Arabidopsis thaliana: one gene and its partners. Changing the gene in region 3 together with the main gene of any one other region gives a genetic interaction. Each region holds a gene or a part of one and is shown on either strand. Other genes may lie near its edges.

Region 1 (4,704 bases), on a different chromosome or scaffold from region 3:
TTCTCCCGTCTTTGGCAGATTCGGAAAACTTGGATTTACCTTTCTTTGTTCCATTACTTTTAGACTTCGGATGTTTAGCTTTTTTTGCATTGGGAATTAGATGTGAACCATTTTCTGAAGGAGATTTTGAAGCACGCAATTCATCTTCTTTTTCTAATACTCTGTTCTTCTTGACCACATCTTCTGGAGTGCTAAAAAAACCATGATGCAGACCCTCTTTATGTTCAATATTGACAATGGAATCAGGCACAGAGTTGATAACTTCAGAATCTGGTGAAGTTTCAGCGTCCAGGGACTGCGTTCCAGTGGCCCTCTCGCACTCCTCAACCATTCTAATAGAGGAAAGGTGTGGGTCATCATCTAAAACATCACCACCCACCTTCCTACATAAACCCCCAGCGTCTTGGTTATATTTCTTATCCCTCATAGAATCAGATGACTGAAGATATGAAACTTTCTCCACAGGGTTGCTTTTCTCTACCAAGTCCTCTTTAGTTTCCACAGTTTGCATTTTATCCTCACCAAAATGTGCTGATCCTGGCAATTCTAAACATGTTCCTGCTTTTACAATACCATTACCAGGTAAGGAGTTACCACTGACCTTAGAGACTGTAATGTTCAGAGGATTTTGGCCACCTGATTTACCAAATTTAACTTTCAAACGAAGGCAAGAGCCACTTGATGCTTGGATGTTTCTGTTAGATCCTTCTACATTCCCGTTATGAGAACTTCTATTATGCTCTCCATTATTAAGATTTCCCTGAGATCTCTGTGGTTCATGATGCGGAGGTCCATCATAGGGAATATTATTGCTCTGTAAGAAGATTTCAGTGGTCTTGCTTGGTAATCCCCACTCAGATGAACGACTTGTTTTTAAAAGAGAGCTCCTCTTCTGCTTTGAGCACTTGAAAATTGACTCAATGTCTCTTTCTGATTGTTTCTTTCTAGAGGATTTTCTCAGATGGCGAGCACTCGTTTTTGTCTGCACCACTTTACATTGTTTCCCGTCTCGGGCCTTCCTTCGGGAAGAAGACATGCCAGCTTCACAAAAATCACTCCCTGATGCAGAAGCAACTTCACCACCTATTCTGCCATTGTCATCTACTATTCTGAGTGGCTCAACTGCATTTTCAGGATTACAGACTTCGATTCCTCCACTTCCAAAGTTCAATGGAAAATTCCATATCAAAGAAGAGTCAGTAATAGGGGAATTGGCTTCCATATCTAAAGTTTTTTCGTCTATGGGTGAACTCTGACTGAAATTTTCAGCTCTCAGATCAGCAGCCATACCATTATTCATACTCAAAGCGGCCACGGCACTTTCACTTGATGAATCCCCAACATGGTTTTTTAGCATCTTTTCATTCATCACGGAAAGATCAGTGTCAAGCCTATCCTCACGTACCAACTTCAAATCTGGATTGATCGTCTCTGTGACTGTGATCTTGTTAAGATCATGTGAACATAGGCCACCATCATCATTATTTAACATTTCTGTGATAGCTAATGAAGGGGATACAACAATAGTCCCATTGCCTTCAATATCAATTGCATCCTCCAGATAACTTTCTGTGGCGCTACAGCCAAATACACTAGAGTCCAATAACGAATCTGGAAACGAAAAACTCTGACTGAGAGATATATCATCAGAAGAACCAGTATCTAGATCACTCGATGGTCCATTTCTTCCTTCCTTACCTCCATCATCAAACCTATAACTAATACCATCACTTTCAACTTCATCAGGTTTTATGTGCTTTGTGGTTTCCAAAGACTCGAATTGTTCTGGTGCATCATTCACAAAAGTTGATTCCGTATCTATTCCACTGCCCCCTATAGGCAATGTTGTGCCACCATAACCTTCATCTTCTTTAGCCTGAGGAGCTTCTTTCTCTTGCATACTCCCAGAAAAAATGGATACAAGGGACACATTTGTGTCCTGACTTTCCTTTCCATCATCCAGCTTGTTGCAATTTACCAGTAAATCAGTATCACAAATTAATTCTTGACTTTGTTCAAGCTCACCTGAAACCACTCCCTGCTCCTGAGTGTCATCAGCATTGTAACAAACATATAGATCATCATCAGTGTTTCCAGCATCTTCTTGACTATTACTGTTCCCGTATCCCATCTGCTCAATCTCTGTAAAGCACTTCCTTTGGCCTTCAATCGTATGGTTTACAGATGAAGCAGTCTGAGGAATCTCCAAACTACTGACTGAATCTAAATTTTGCCCACGAGAACTCAATTTCTCATAGAAATCTTCATTGGTATTCATCGCAAGATTTGAGGCCAGAGAGTTAGCATCAATATTGCACCCAGAAGCGTCACCAACACCGTTTTCCTTACAGTCCATCGTAATGCTACCTGATTCAAAGCCAAACAAATAACATTCTCAAAAAAAGGGATTTTTAATGAAAAATCAGTAAGCTATTTAGTAAATCAAACTATGCAATGGTTCAAAGACCTTTAACAGATTCTCAATAGAACCCAGCCCCGTATTAACATGATCTACAAAATCAACCAAACAGAGACCCCAAAAAAAAAAAAAAAAAAAACTTAAGAAGGTCAACTCAAAGACCTAACACAAGACAATGGATGGCTCAATCATCAACATTGATGACAAAAACCCTCCGATCTCTTCTGATTTTAAACACGCCGCAACAGAGACTAAATAAAATAAAATAAAATCTTGTCACCTCCTGAAAATAACGAAACCCTAACCTCATGAATCAGAAGCGATTGAGCGAATGCCAACGAACGTAAAACTGGAGCACGAGTAACGGAGAAAACCCTAGAGAGGCGGAGAAGATTACGATATCAGATATAGAGAGAGGAGAAGGAATCGGAGGAAGTAGGGAAGAGACAACGCGAGGCGGTCAGTTTTTTCAGAGATACCGATTTTTTTTTTTTCTCTTTTTCAGTAAAATAAATTGTAAAATCCCCAAACGATACTATTTTGCTATTCCCAACTTATATTTTTTTGTTGTTGCTAATTTGTTTGATTTGGACTTGTGTGGGTCTTAGTTTTTTTATTTTATTTTAATCTCAATGATTACGATGAAAATTTAATTGACAAACAAAAAAATATTTATATTTTTCGATAAAGTCATAGGTTTTTTAAATCTTACCCAAACATATGTCAAAACAATAAAAGTTAGAACTTTTTTGTAGAGAAAATTCACACAAGCTTTTACTAAAAATACATTGCCAATTTATTTCCAAGATATTCAGATCTATTGGGGAGTTGTGTTCAATCAAAATGGTCCCAAAGGTGGTCCATAAAGACATGATTAGTCGTTTAATTAGCTTCTTTAGTCTATGATTACTTGATTAGTCGTTCGTTCTAATAAGATTCTCGCTAGTATTCTTCCATAATGGTTTATCATTAGAAAAAAGAAATATATATTGTATGTGTATATCAGAATAAAAGTTCATGTAATAACTTTAGTCTACCAAACCTAGCTAGTTGTATTATTATTTTACAATAAGACTCACACAGCCCCACTCATTCGCAATCATAACATCGGCGGAGACTTTCGCGACCAAGCAAGCGGGAATAAGTTTCATAGCTCCAGACAACGATGGTTAACTGACTTGTGTTCTCCTCGTTGAAGATGCAAATAAGTGCGATGATGATGAGCCAAGCATTTATCCGAATCAGAGTCTTGTTAACGATATTGAGTCACGGTTTGAATGTGACCAAACCCTTGCTATGATCCCTGTCATTAGAAGCCAAAAACGTGGAAGCTAAGGGGAGGATATTCATACACGAAGTCGCAGTATTTCTTCTTGTTGTCCACCTCATCCACTTCATCTTCTCATCCATATCATATATGTCGTCGGACACCGTCCATATTGAAGATGAATGAGCAGTTGCGGCGGAACTTAGAGGTTGGAGACTATGTCGACTTTATAAGAGATCAAAGAAGCATCACAATAAAAGAGAGAGCAGAAGAGTATCGCCATGATCCCTGGGAAGCGTGGAACTGCAAGGGTGTTATATAGGCTTATAGTGTTGTAGTTGTTGATAATTACTATATTTTGATGTTTGCATTACTGTCTGTCTATATGGAGCCATGGAGGTGATATCATAATCCAAGGGAGAATTAAGAGCTAAGAGAAAAACTTATGCTATCATCTAGCTACACATGATGCATAAAATCTGTGCCTAATTCATAGTTTTGATAATATGGAAACCAAGGAATGCTTTGATATATGACAATAAGCTATGGATCATCATTCCATTGCTAAAAAAAGAGAGAAAAACAATGGAGTTGAGAACAAAAATATGAGATGCGGGAATTGAACTAATCAAGTTATAATCTACTTGTACACATAACCATGTCCCACTCACTTCTCTCAACGCACTTTTGGATGCATCTTGGAAATATGAGAACAAACCATACGAACACTAAAACTAATTGTTTCGCTTTTGTATGATCAACAAAACAGACTTGTAGTTTGGAGTTGATGTAGTCTTACTGTAATGCCGTCTCTCGGTATTGACCTATTCCGACGCAGTTTCCTCAAGAACAATATTAATGCAAAAAGCAACAATTCTAAGGCAAATACATAAGCAAGGCAAGCAAAATAAAATTGTTGTCTCTTCGAATTTCTTAGAATAACTTATGTAACAACTCCTCGTTACTTGATGTTTCATTAATTAACGGACAAAACAAAGAATGACACATGATATTTTCA
Region 2 (6,783 bases), on a different chromosome or scaffold from region 3:
TCAAAATAGTTACTAAAATAATTTTTTTCTAAAAGCCATGAATATAAACACAACAACTAATCAATCTCCACAATATATATTATATATTAACAAAAAGTGTATTGGTGATAAAAAGTACTTGATGATACACTAAACAAAAAGGATAAATGGGAGAATTTTTTATTTTGAAAGATGAAACATTTTAGGTTATATATTTCATGACCCTTATAAATAAAATTCCTGGCTCCACCACTGGATATCTCTACATATTTCCAACATCAATATCCATTGATATTTGATAATCTTTACCAAAAATTCGCAATCTCCTTTAGAGTGAAAGCGAGTATAACCGTATGACCAAACTATTTTGAGTACCATTGGTAATTCCTTACCTTAAGCTTCCAGAGGTATTAGTGCTATATATTCATAGTGCCACCGAGTATTTTGAACTCCGAAATGATTTCTCACTATCCGACCACTCCCAATTATATAACATGCTTAGAATTATTCGTAAGATGGATCGTAGTTGCATTTTACGACACCATACAGGACAAGTCCATGATAGTTTGAGTTGGTGGATTTTGGAACCCCTGCAAATTTATTTTATACATAACAAAGGCCCCAATCCATTCCTTAGCATCACAACTTGGGACTTCTATCTTTTGAAGGATACATTCACTTGTTGGTTTTGGTAAATATGATTGTTTCTTTACTTCCGAATAAGCAATATATAAAAGTATCTAAAAACGGAAGTAACTTTTGATGATCCTAAAGGTTTTGTAATTGATACATGTCCAAAAACCTCTTAATATTCTTTCTCACAAACTGTTGATGGAGTTAACAAAGGGAGACAAGGTAATTGGGACAATATCAACGTTAGATACAGGACAAGTGAAAAATGTGGGGTTGATGTCTTCAGCTGCAGCATATCACCGTTGGTATATATTGTCAATTATTAGTCCTATGGATTTGAAACGTGTTTTAGTAAATAAGAGTGTCCAAGTGGGACATTTCCAATAACGTATCACAGCTCCTAGAGCTTTTGCTATGTTTCTCTAGGCCTGGGCCGCCTAGCCCACATTCCAAGCAAGGAAATGAATGGAGTTGGGCATCAAAATTTTGGAAGCATTTTTAAGACAAATTATCTTTTAAGTTTCCTTTTTTAAACATAAACTATATTTTAGGCTTTTTTAAGATAAATATTATTTGGATTTTCTTTCACTCATATTTTTGGATTTCAACTTAACAAAACATAGGGCGTGTCTATTTGACTCCACCTACCCACCCTACTGGAGTTCGATCCCACTAAATCGCGTTATCCCGCATAGTAGGGATTGACTATGGATCGGACTTTGTCGATCCAAAGATATCTAAGAAATTCAGAAAAGATTGTATAAAATTCAGAAACGATTTTACGAAATTCATGAAAAATGAGAAATACATGTTTTTTTTAATTTACGTCGGCATTAAAAACGTTGGACCGGCTCTGTGTTTCACCAAAGAAATTGTTTCAGTTTATGCATGATCTTCAACTTCCATATTCTTGTTTTCAATTCTGGAAATCCCTAACAGATCGGAGCTCTCCTCATTCAGTGAGTTGGAAGATTGCATGATTATATAATTACTCTTCACATCCACATATATTACATTATATTCCCCTATAATTTCATACAACCCTAGAAAAGAATCTTCAAGTAATCTAATCGTGTCGATGACTCCACTCATTTGCTAGAAAAGAAAAAACAAACAGACTTCATTTAGCTGAAAACAATCTTTTATTCAACATTACAAAGCACTGATCAAAGAACCTCTAACATGGTAATATATCTATGACATTTTACGTATCCTAAAAGAAAACAAAAAGTGATGTATTGGATGATGTTTTTTTTTTTTACTTTCTAGTTTCTTATTACAACGACAAAAAGAGTCCACGTCGTCACGCACTTTTCCGGTGGTGAAAAAAATGTCCAAATGGATTAAATCTATAATATCTCCAGAGAGATCCTCTCCTTCTATCTTTTTGGGCTCCACTTTTCCTATCTCTTTTTGCCCCTTTCCTCTCTCTGTTCACAAGTCATCTTCTTCCTTCCTCTGAATCTTGTTCCTTTTTGCTCTCTCTACTTGATTCACCCACTCTGTTTCTCGATTAGTACGTTGAAAACTCACTTTGGTTTTGTTTGATTCCTCTTTAGTCTGTTTTTCGATTTCGTTTTCTCTGATTGGTTTGGTGGTGAGATCTCTATCGTAGTTTGTCCTTTGGGTTAAGATATTTCATTTGATTGGTGGGTTTGTTTTATTGAAGCTTATTGTTGTGAAAGTTGGAGTCTTTCTCAGTTTTTAGGTTGAATTATTAAGAGAAAGGGAAGATTTTTGGTGTGAAGTTAGGTTATTTGGGGTTTGAGAAGTTTGCAAGTGAAAAAGGTTGTGAATTGTGAGTGATGAAGAGAGGGAAAGATGAGGAGAAGATATTGGAACCTATGTTTCCTCGGCTTCATGTGAATGATGCAGATAAAGGAGGGCCTAGAGCTCCTCCTAGAAACAAGATGGCTCTTTATGAGCAGCTTAGTATTCCTTCTCAGAGGTTTGGTGATCATGGAACGATGAATTCTCGTAGTAACAACACAAGCACTTTGGTTCATCCTGGACCATCTAGTCAGGTATTGTTTTGATTTTGATCATTGTATAGGCTCTTGATGTTATTAGTTGTATGAGTTTGGATGTTATATAGCCTGAAAGAGAAAGTAGGACATTGGTTGATCTATGTTTCAATTGTTATCAGATCATAGTATCTTCTTTTTGCTTATGGATTGAGCTTTTAGGATTGAATTCTCCTGTATATATGAGAGTCTTGTAGACACAAGTTTATCTAAGTGTGGTTTATTTCTTAAAACTAACATTCTTGTTGTGCCTGATTCTTTTTATGTTCTGAAGTTCGATGAAAGTTTCTTGTGATTGCCCTGAGCATTCAGACTATTGCAAGGACATGAGAAATAATCCTTTTTTACCCTCTTCAATGCAGCCTTGTGGTGTGGAAAGAAACTTATCTGTCCAGCATCTTGATTCTTCAGCCGCAAACCAAGCAACTGAGAAGTTTGTCTCCCAAATGTCCTTCATGGAAAATGTGAGATCTTCGGCACAGCATGATCAGAGGAAAATGGTGAGAGAGGAAGAAGATTTTGCAGTTCCAGTATATATTAACTCAAGAAGATCTCAGTCTCATGGCAGAACCAAGAGTGGTATTGAGAAGGAAAAACACACCCCAATGGTGGCACCTAGCTCTCATCACTCCATTCGATTTCAAGAAGTGAATCAGACAGGCTCAAAGCAAAACGTATGTTTGGCTACTTGTTCAAAACCTGAAGTTAGGGATCAGGTCAAGGCGAATGCAAGGTCAGGTGGCTTTGTAATCTCTTTAGATGTATCAGTCACAGAGGAGATTGATCTCGAAAAATCAGCATCAAGTCATGATAGAGTAAATGATTATAATGCTTCCTTGAGACAAGAGTCTAGAAATCGGTTATACCGAGATGGTGGCAAAACTCGTCTGAAGGACACTGATAATGGAGCTGAATCTCACTTGGCAACGGAAAATCATTCACAAGAGGGTCATGGCAGTCCTGAAGACATTGATAATGATCGTGAATACAGCAAAAGCAGAGCATGCGCCTCTCTGCAGCAGATAAATGAAGAGGCAAGTGATGACGTTTCTGATGATTCGATGGTGGATTCTATATCCAGCATAGATGTCTCTCCCGATGATGTTGTGGGTATATTAGGTCAAAAACGTTTCTGGAGAGCAAGGAAAGCCATTGCCAAGTAAGTTCACTAGAAATTTACAGTTTGGTTATTTATTCTCCGCTCTTTCTATTTATCTCCTTCTTTGATACCAACATTTTTTGCTTGAAAGAAGTTAATATTTAAGCATTGTTCCGTAGTCTTACTGAAGCTTTTTCCTCTGTTGTTTTTTGCTATTTTCATTGAGGACTGTGGTAGGGCATATTTCACTATCACCAAATTTCAAATTTCTAGAACACTCTCCTTCATATTTTTTTTCATGATTAATGCTGCAATTGATTGCTGATATACATATATGACTATAACTCAGTTTCATATTCTGTCTCATTTTGGGAGAAAGAGATTTCAGGTTTATGCTTGAGAAGTGATGGTTCTATAGTTGAGAGGCCCCTGATTCATCTAAAATGGTCCTATTATGTGTTTAGTTGTAGAGTCCTCGGTAGAATATTAACGCGTTTAACACGTTGGATCATGTTATAGCAGGGAGGGACATTCTCTGTTGACCTATATTGTGCAAGGTGCCCGCCGATGGCTTTATTACTATACCTTCTTTGCATCTGGTTGTTGGAACATGTCCCTGTCTCGGTTTGGTATTGCTTTTATTCTGCACTGTCGTCTTGGGCATTTTCCCTACTTGTCATTCAAGGGGTTGAACCAGGTAGGGAAATGTTTTTCCGAGGACCCCAGGATCTAAATTTTAGTTAACCATACGTAAAGTTAGTTTTGAGTCTTATGACGATGCAGAATTATAGTTTCTTCTTACTACTGCTTAAGAGGATCCTTAGTGTGGTTGTGAACTACAGAGTTTTTATGATTGTAGGCTTCATGACTTAACTTTTAAGGTTCAATGTACTCTAATCCATATGGTAAGGTATCGGATTCACGACCAATGCAAATAATAAGATTTTTATTTCTTGCTTCTTGTTAAATATCTGACATCTCATTTTGCAGAGGATAAGCTGCGCTGTAAGCTAGATTTCAATAAGCCCGTCCTTTGCATTGTTATCTATGCTTTAATATGTCATTGGACCCATTGATTTGGTTTTCTTCTATCTTTTTTGATTGGCTATGTATTCTTGTTTCTTTTTTCCTATCTCATTTCGATCGTATTGTTCCATTAGCTGTTCAACCTAAACTATGTCTCTCTTTGTTGAACTTTTGATGGATAATCTTCTTAATGTGACTCTGTTTCTCATTACAGTCAACAAAGAGTATTTGCTGTTCAACTATTTGAGTTGCACAGACTGATTAAGGTAAAGTCATTCAGAAACTTCTCATATGTTTCCATGAGTATTTGTTTCTTCTCGAGCTGAAACAAACCTCTTCAACTGTGTAATAATCAGGTTCAAAAACTTATTGCTGCATCACCGGATCTCTTGCTCGATGAGATCAGTTTTCTTGGAAAAGTTTCTGCTAAAAGCTATCCAGTGAAGAAGCTCCTTCCATCAGAATTTCTGGTAAAGCCTCCTCTACCACATGTTGTCGTCAAACAAAGGGGTGACTCGGAGAAGACTGACCAACATAAAATGGAAAGCTCAGCTGAGAACGTAGTTGGGAGGTTGTCAAATCAAGGTCATCATCAACAATCCAACTACATGCCTTTTGCAAACAACCCACCGGCTTCACCGGCTCCAAATGGATATTGCTTTCCTCCTCAGCCTCCTCCTTCAGGAAATCATCAGCAATGGTTGATCCCTGTAATGTCTCCCTCGGAAGGACTGATATACAAGCCTCACCCAGGTATGGCACACACGGGGCATTATGGAGGATATTATGGTCATTATATGCCTACACCAATGGTAATGCCTCAATATCACCCCGGCATGGGATTCCCACCTCCTGGTAATGGCTACTTCCCTCCATATGGAATGATGCCCACCATAATGAACCCATATTGTTCAAGCCAACAACAACAACAACAACAACCCAATGAGCAAATGAACCAGTTTGGACATCCTGGAAATCTTCAGAACACCCAACAACAACAACAGAGATCTGATAATGAACCTGCTCCACAGCAACAGCAACAGCCAACAAAGTCTTATCCGCGAGCAAGAAAGAGCAGGCAAGGGAGCACAGGAAGCAGTCCAAGTGGGCCACAGGGAATCTCTGGTAGCAAGTCCTTTCGGCCATTCGCAGCCGTTGATGAGGACAGCAACATCAACAATGCACCTGAGCAAACGATGACAACAACCACAACGACGACAAGAACAACTGTTACTCAGACAACAAGAGATGGGGGAGGAGTGACGAGAGTGATAAAGGTGGTACCTCACAACGCAAAGCTCGCGAGTGAGAATGCTGCCAGAATTTTCCAGTCAATACAAGAAGAACGTAAACGCTATGACTCCTCTAAGCCTTAATCCTCTCTATGCGTATTGTACTTGATATGTATTTTACAAAATTAGAAAAATTGTGATAGATGTTATCCTCAATATATGTACCATGTAAACGTATTATGGTGTAAGCCTCATTTATATGTGTTAATTTGTCTTAAAGCCTTGAAATCACTTGAACAACAAAGATTATTTGAAACAACTACTTACAATCACTGTTTCTTTTGTCTGTGACATCAAGAACTTAAGCATCCCATATTTACAACATCTTGTCTACATAGGAAGGAGTATAATTGGTAGTAAGATATTAATGGACATCGATTAATATAGGGCGGAGACGAAGATCAAGCACTGAATCCACGGTCAAGAGAGCTCCAAGGACTGGTAGGGATGGTGGGACAAGCCTGCATTGCTGCCTCCTCCATTTGCCTCATCTGAATCCCTGCGTTGCACATGTTTGCAATCGACCTCATGTGCTTTATTCCGTACTGAGACAACGATCCACAGTGCCTCTCGAAAGCTCTCACCTAACAACCACATAAAGGAGAATAAGAAAGTGATCATCACAAGAAGCTTAATCATCTAATGAGGACTGAAAGTGATTTTTTTCCGACATATCATATCGTATCTAACGTCCTGAGTCTTGCATCCTCTGGCCAATACCATTGTTTAA
Region 3 (6,460 bases):
TTTATTAACTATAAAATAGCTCCAAATCTTTGACCAAAAAACATACATATAGTATAACCGGTAATAACCGACTGTACCGGTCAACTAGCTCTAAGCGTCACCGACCTCGTGGATCAAACGACACCGACACGTGCTGATGTCTTAGTAGATCTCGTAATAGAAGTGGGACCATAGTTACGTGGCACCATATGAATCGTTCGATCAGATGCAAATCTCCTACCACAAAGAGATAGATAGATAGTTAGTTGTAACTAGGATAAGATAAACATTTTTTTTCATCGAGTTATTGCAATGATTTTTCTCTAAAGTGTAAAATTCTACAAAGATACAATAAAACATCTTAGGCCAATGAATTGAATTATTTGTTATACATATACAGTATACAATTATATGGAGATAAATTTTAGTATCTCTACTCAAATTAGACAATTTGTCTACAATATTGTTATGTGTCATAAACTCGTCCACAACACACAACATTCATCCATTAGGTCCCAATGATCAAAAGTATAGTAGTAAAAAGTAAATCATTGTGGCGACACTTTTTTTCGTCTCAGCCATTTCGAGCTTACTCTGCACATGCTATACATCAACCGCTTCCTAAAACCTACAATTATAAGGTATTAATTTCATAGCTCACAACAAAAGGAACAAAATACATCTTTAAATTCTACAAAAATAAATCTAGAGTTACAACTTCAACCGAGAAAGTCTATCAATGCATATTTCCATTTAAAGTGTGACCTGTCATTGTTAAAAGTTTATTATTGTTGAATAAATTTAGTTAACAATTTCGTTTATCTGTTTTTAATATTATGGGAAGGAGTCATTTTTCACTAAGCATATAGATTTTCTAATGAGTATCCCTATATATATATATATATATTAAACTTCTTTTTTCGGTCAATACAATTTTATAATCTTTCATTTTTTCTATCATTTCATATCATTGTAACTATAAATTTTCGTAAATAGACCTTTAGTGTTAATACAATAGATTTTTATTAATTTTATATCGGATTTTGTTTAAAAAAGAAAAACCATAGGATGGATGATGATTGGTACTTATAAGATTGTAATTGGGTATTTTTGGATTGTTACCACCATTACAAAGCTATTAACAGAGATTGAAGATATCACACAATGAGAGCGCCACAGCTTCAGCAACGTCCCATGCAGCTGATGTGCCTTCGCCTTTCTCTTCCTCATCTGCGCTTATAAATAAGGCAAAGCAACTAGAAAAGATTAAAACCAAAACCAAAACAAAAAACTAGTTAAGACCCTGATTTTGTTTCATAGGTACATACACTTTTCAACATTGATTTTTGTTGTTAAAAATAAAATCCATGTGAAGGTTCTCATCATATACCGAAAGAATGGGAAATTTGAAAATTCCATACTTTTTTAAAAAGACAATTTGTTTTATCACTTTAGTTTTTTTATATATTCAGCGTCTACCAAATCTACACTTTTTTTTCTTTCTCGATTTAGTTAATCTTCGTTCTTGTGTCATGTAATAGATTACTATTTCAAAACATAGATATTTAGTTATCTAAATAAAACTAGGCCATCCATGGATGGTTTCAATTTTTTTTTTCATATGAAAGAAAAGTTAAATTTCATTTCACAATAACCATTGATTACTAAATTTAGTAAAGAATCAATTGGGTTTAGTGTTTACTTGTTTAAGGTTTTTTTTTTTTCTTTTGTTATGGTTCTATACTAATATCAAAGAGTTATGGGCCGAAGCCCATACATCTTTCCGTCGAGAATCTCATATATTCTTTATCGAAGCCCATACATCTTTCCGTCGAGAATCTCATATATACCTTATCCCATTCAACATTCATACGAGCGCCGCTCTAGGGTTTTTGCTTTTCGCCATTGGTCCAAGTGCTATTTGGTTGTTTAAGGTTGCTTTTAGCACACAACTTTAATATTATTTTTATGTTTTTCTTCTTACGATTTATCGATTTGTGGGATACTGACAATCAGATTATTGTTGTTTTTTCCAGCCAAATATCAGATCTTGCGCCGCTCTTTATCCCATTCAACATTCATACGAGCACCGCTTTACGGTTTTTGCTTTTCGACATTGGTCGAAGTGCTATTTGGTTGTTTAAGGTTGCTTTTAGCACACAACTTTAATATTATTTTTATGTTTTCTTCTTACGATTTATCGATTTGTAGGATACTGACAATCAGATTTTTGTTGTTTTTTTCAGCCAAAAATCAGATTTTTTTACATTTTGTTTAGAGAATGATTTTGGTTCCCGATTTGTCTGTTTTTCGCTTATGTGTAAAGTACTTTGAAAAATATTGTGTTAACTCTACAATGGGTATCCCAAATTTTTGAGTTCTTTTGTCTTGTTCGTTGTCGAGACACTAGAAATGTTAATTTAATTCTCTTCTTCCAAAAAGAACCATTTACTGGTTCATTCTCTACTTGAATTTTATTCTGGTTGTATTTCTTTTCCAGTATAAAGCAGATTGTTTTTTGTTATTTTTCAGTTTAGATTGGCTTTGTCTCTTTTGAGTTGTTGCAATTGTCAAACTTTGGAATGAAATAGTAAATAATCTTAGGTTGGTAGTAAATCTTAACATTGTGTTTTTGGGGCATAATTTATCGATAAAATCTTCAGCATTAAAACCAAAAAGAAAAAACTTTTTAAGTCTTTTTTGTTTGGTGGTTAATATAAAGTTTATACGTGTATTAATTTGATCACACTCACTATATGTCCAGGGAGCTAAACCTCTATATCGAGTACTAATAGTATGCAATGTCCAGGTTATTGCATTGAGGGAAAATGAATGGACAAGGTGATTTGGATGCGGTTGGAAACATTCCAAAACCAGGTGAAGCTGAAGGCGATGAGATTGATATGATTAATGATATGTCTGGTGTTAATGATCAAGATGGTGGAAGGATGAGAAGAACCCATAGGCGCACTGCTTATCAAACTCAAGAACTTGAAAAGTTTGTTCACTTTCTTCTTCATTTCATCATCATGCAACATTTCCTATTATTTTTTTTATTTTTTTATTTTGAGTTTGGAATGTTTCTCTTTACTTTGCTCTTTACTTTAAAATGAGTGTAGTTTCTACATGGAAAATCCTCATCCCACTGAAGAACAGAGGTACGAGCTTGGACAAAGGCTTAATATGGGTGTCAATCAAGTCAAGAATTGGTTCCAGAATAAAAGAAATCTCGAGAAGGTACCAAAAAATACAGAAGTGTATACATGCATGTGGCTGTGTCTTTTCTTATTCTTTGCACGTACCGTATTATGGACCATGTTTCTGCCCTATGTTAAAAACAAATACTGTATATAGTTTACCACCTCTCTCTCTCATCCTCAAAATCTGCCTTGATTATGGTATAATTATTGAGTGTGGTTTTTTGGGTAAGCAGATCAATAATGACCACCTTGAGAATGTAACTCTTAGAGAAGAGCATGACAGATTGCTAGCAACTCAGGATCAGCTTAGAAGCGCAATGCTACGTAGTTTATGCAACATTTGTGGTAAGGCAACTAATTGTGGAGACACTGAATATGAGGTGCAAAAACTTATGGCTGAGAATGCTAACTTGGAGCGGGAGATAGACCAGTTCAATTCCAGATACCTTTCTCATCCCAAACAAAGGATGGTCAGTACATCCGAACAGGCGCCTTCTTCTTCCTCTAATCCAGGAATAAATGCAACACCAGTACTTGATTTTAGTGGTGGAACTAGGACGTCTGAGAAGGAGACATCAATTTTTCTGAATCTTGCCATTACGGCTTTGAGAGAGTTGATTACATTGGGAGAAGTGGACTGTCCATTTTGGATGATAGATCCAATCGTTAGATCCAAAGGAGTATCAAAGATCTATGAGAAGTATAGAAGTTCTTTCAACAATGTCACAAAACCTCCCGGGCAAATTGTGGAGGCTTCAAGAGCTAAAGGTTTAGTTCCCATGACTTGCGTGACTCTGGTCAAGACTCTTATGGACACAGTAATAACCTTTAAACCACCACCCATTTTTTAGTGAAATGTTGTTACATGAAATGTTAACAAGTTTTTTTTTTTTTTTTTTAAACAGGGCAAATGGGTCAACGTGTTTGCACCTATAGTCCCTGTGGCATCAACCCATAAAGTGCTATCTACCGGTTCTGGTGGAACCAAAAGTGGCTCACTCCAACAGGTATAATATATATAGTTTTCTGAGTCGTCTATATTGGTTGATAATCCAAGAGAAGTAGAAACATTTCAAATTTGTGATCATATAATTTTGGCAGATTCAAGCAGAATTTCAAGTAATTTCTCCGCTGGTACCAAAGAGAAAAGTAACGTTTATTAGATACTGCAAAGAGATCAGACAGGGCTTATGGGTGGTCGTCGACGTTACTCCTACTCAAAATCCGACTTTGCTGCCCTATGGTTGTTCTAAGAGGCTACCCTCAGGCCTTATCATAGACGACCTGTCCAATGGGTACTCCCAGGTTACTTCTGAATCCTGTTCTTTGAACAATATATGTTGGTTCACTTGTTATTACTCGCAATCATAATTAATGATCTATCAGAGCATCTTGTACTGTGGAGACATAAATAAATGGTTAATGGTTATTATTATATTCACCACATGTATAACACATAGAGATTTGATTTCACAGGTTACATGGATTGAACAAGCGGAATATAATGAGAGTCACATCCACCAACTCTACCAGCCTTTGATTGGCTATGGGATCGGGCTAGGTGCAAAGAGATGGCTCGCGACGCTGCAGAGACACTGCGAAAGCCTCTCGACCCTTTCATCTACCAACTTGACTGAAATTAGTCCAGGTGAAAGCTATTTAAATTATAGAATAAATCTCATTACAACTACTTTTTAGGTCATTTTCGGTTCTCCACTAAATTTGGACAGGCCTTGATTGTGATATATGTTTTCGATATAGGATTGTCTGCAAAAGGTGCAACTGAAATAGTGAAGCTAGCACAGCGAATGACTCTCAACTACTACAGAGGTATTACGAGTCCTTCGGTGGACAAGTGGCAGAAAATTCAGGTGGAGAATGTGGCACAAAACATGAGTTTCATGATCCGAAAGAACGTGAATGAGCCTGGTGAGCTAACTGGGATTGTGCTGAGTGCATCCACTTCTGTTTGGCTCCCAGTGAACCAGCATACACTCTTTGCTTTCATTAGCCACCTGAGTTTCAGACACGAGTGGGATATCTTGACCAATGATACTACCATGGAAGAAACAATCCGGATTCAAAAAGCAAAACGCCATGGAAACATCATCTCTCTTCTGAAAATCGTTGTGAGTTTCAAAACATTTATTTTTGGTTTAATGAGTGTCGTTTTGTCTATGTTTCCATTGATTTTCGTGAGTTTTGCAATGCAAACAGAATAATGGTATGCTGGTTCTGCAAGAGATTTGGAATGATGCATCAGGTGCAATGGTGGTGTATGCACCAGTGGAAACCAATTCTATTGAGCTGGTCAAGAGAGGTGAAAATTCAGATTCTGTGAAGTTTCTTCCTTCGGGATTTTCGATAGTGCCAGATGGAGTAAATGGGTCATATCATAGAGGCAATACTGGTGGAGGATGTCTACTGACATTTGGACTTCAGATCTTGGTGGGCATCAATCCAACTGCTGCACTCATTCAAGGTACTGTCAAAAGTGTCGAGACACTCATGGCTCATACTATTGTCAAGATCAAATCCGCGTTAGATTTACAGACGTAACCATCAGCAGCTCCAGTTTCCGTTGTTCCGCAAGAAATTCGACATTGGCTTGTGCCCTAGTTTGCTTTTCCAACCAAGACTCTTCTGGATTAACTTTTTTATGCGTTTGTTGATCTGTTTGCTGGATATTTCTTGCTTCCTTTCTTCTTTCCTTTTCTGAAACTCTCAAATTGTTACAAACCAGAATTAATAGAGAGTTAGAACAATATATTTCGTATTCAACATTGATGGAGATCATGCTTCACTATATCAGGTGAAAAATGCATTCCAGAATTCTAATAACTACTAGAAATCAAGCTGAAAAGAAACAGGGTTGCGGGTGGAGAAAAGATGTACTGCAACACCGGATTAGAATCCATCTCTCTAATTCTCTTTTCTTGTTATACTAATACACATAAGTTAGTACGCAACTAACAGATGATCAAGACCTTGCAGTTGCTATAATGTTAAGATTAAATCAAAATGAACAAGTTGGTTTTAGTCTGATTTTGCCAGCAATCTTCCAAGCATGCTTTAAAAACTCGAATGCTTTCCAAGGGTCCTCTTCAGAGAGAGCAAATTTCAGGTCTGCAAACAAGTCACCTAGAGCCGAAATAGATTCTTCTGCGCCTCTCGGTTCTTCATGTCCTTCTGGTTCTCCCATGCGTGTATTTCTCTCTCTTGCACGTACCTCAGCTTCCAATTTTGCAGCCATTGAAATGGCTCGACGTATACATGATGGA

The links. A genetic interaction does not mean that the proteins touch.
Region 1: of FWA (region 3) and EFS, changing one suppresses a phenotype caused by changing the other (phenotypic suppression), as found in Arabidopsis thaliana (one study listed by BioGRID).
Region 2: of FWA (region 3) and ELF3, changing one suppresses a phenotype caused by changing the other (phenotypic suppression), as found in Arabidopsis thaliana (one study listed by BioGRID).

What each region holds. Positions count from the first base shown.
Region 1 is NC_003070.9:29,046,455-29,051,158, forward strand, and holds the start of EFS (histone-lysine N-methyltransferase), read right to left. Parts: upstream 3,001-4,704; 5' UTR 2,725-3,000; intron 2,368-2,724; 5' UTR 2,357-2,367; coding exon 1-2,356. UniProt on the Arabidopsis thaliana protein: Histone methyltransferase involved in di and tri-methylation of 'Lys-36' of histone H3 (H3K36me2 and H3K36me3). Binds to H3 already mono- or di-methylated on 'Lys-4'(H3K4me1 or H3K4me2), but not to H3K4me3.
Region 2 is NC_003071.7:11,057,042-11,063,824, forward strand, and holds ELF3 (hydroxyproline-rich glycoprotein family protein), read left to right. Parts: upstream 1-1,902; 5' UTR 1,903-2,417; coding exon 2,418-2,636; intron 2,637-2,836; exon of another isoform or gene 2,837-2,998; coding exon 2,999-3,795; intron 3,796-4,975; coding exon 4,976-5,027; intron 5,028-5,117; coding exon 5,118-6,137; 3' UTR 6,138-6,283; downstream 6,284-6,783. Other genes in the region: ALPHA-VPE (alpha-vacuolar processing enzyme), read right to left, coding at 6,455-6,637. UniProt on the Arabidopsis thaliana protein: May be a transcription factor part of a circadian clock input pathway. Acts within a 'zeitnehmer' feedback loop and is involved in its own circadian regulation. Has no role in regulating circadian clock function in the dark.
Region 3 is NC_003075.7:13,036,505-13,042,964, forward strand, and holds FWA (FLOWERING WAGENINGEN), read left to right. Parts: upstream 1-1,855; 5' UTR 1,856-1,913; intron 1,914-2,015; 5' UTR 2,016-2,124; intron 2,125-2,788; 5' UTR 2,789-2,807; coding exon 2,808-2,977; intron 2,978-3,098; coding exon 3,099-3,216; intron 3,217-3,412; coding exon 3,413-3,997; intron 3,998-4,084; coding exon 4,085-4,186; intron 4,187-4,280; coding exon 4,281-4,484; intron 4,485-4,655; coding exon 4,656-4,827; intron 4,828-4,940; coding exon 4,941-5,308; intron 5,309-5,396; coding exon 5,397-5,738; 3' UTR 5,739-5,960; downstream 5,961-6,460. Other genes in the region: homolog of DNA mismatch repair protein MSH3, read right to left, coding at 6,196-6,460.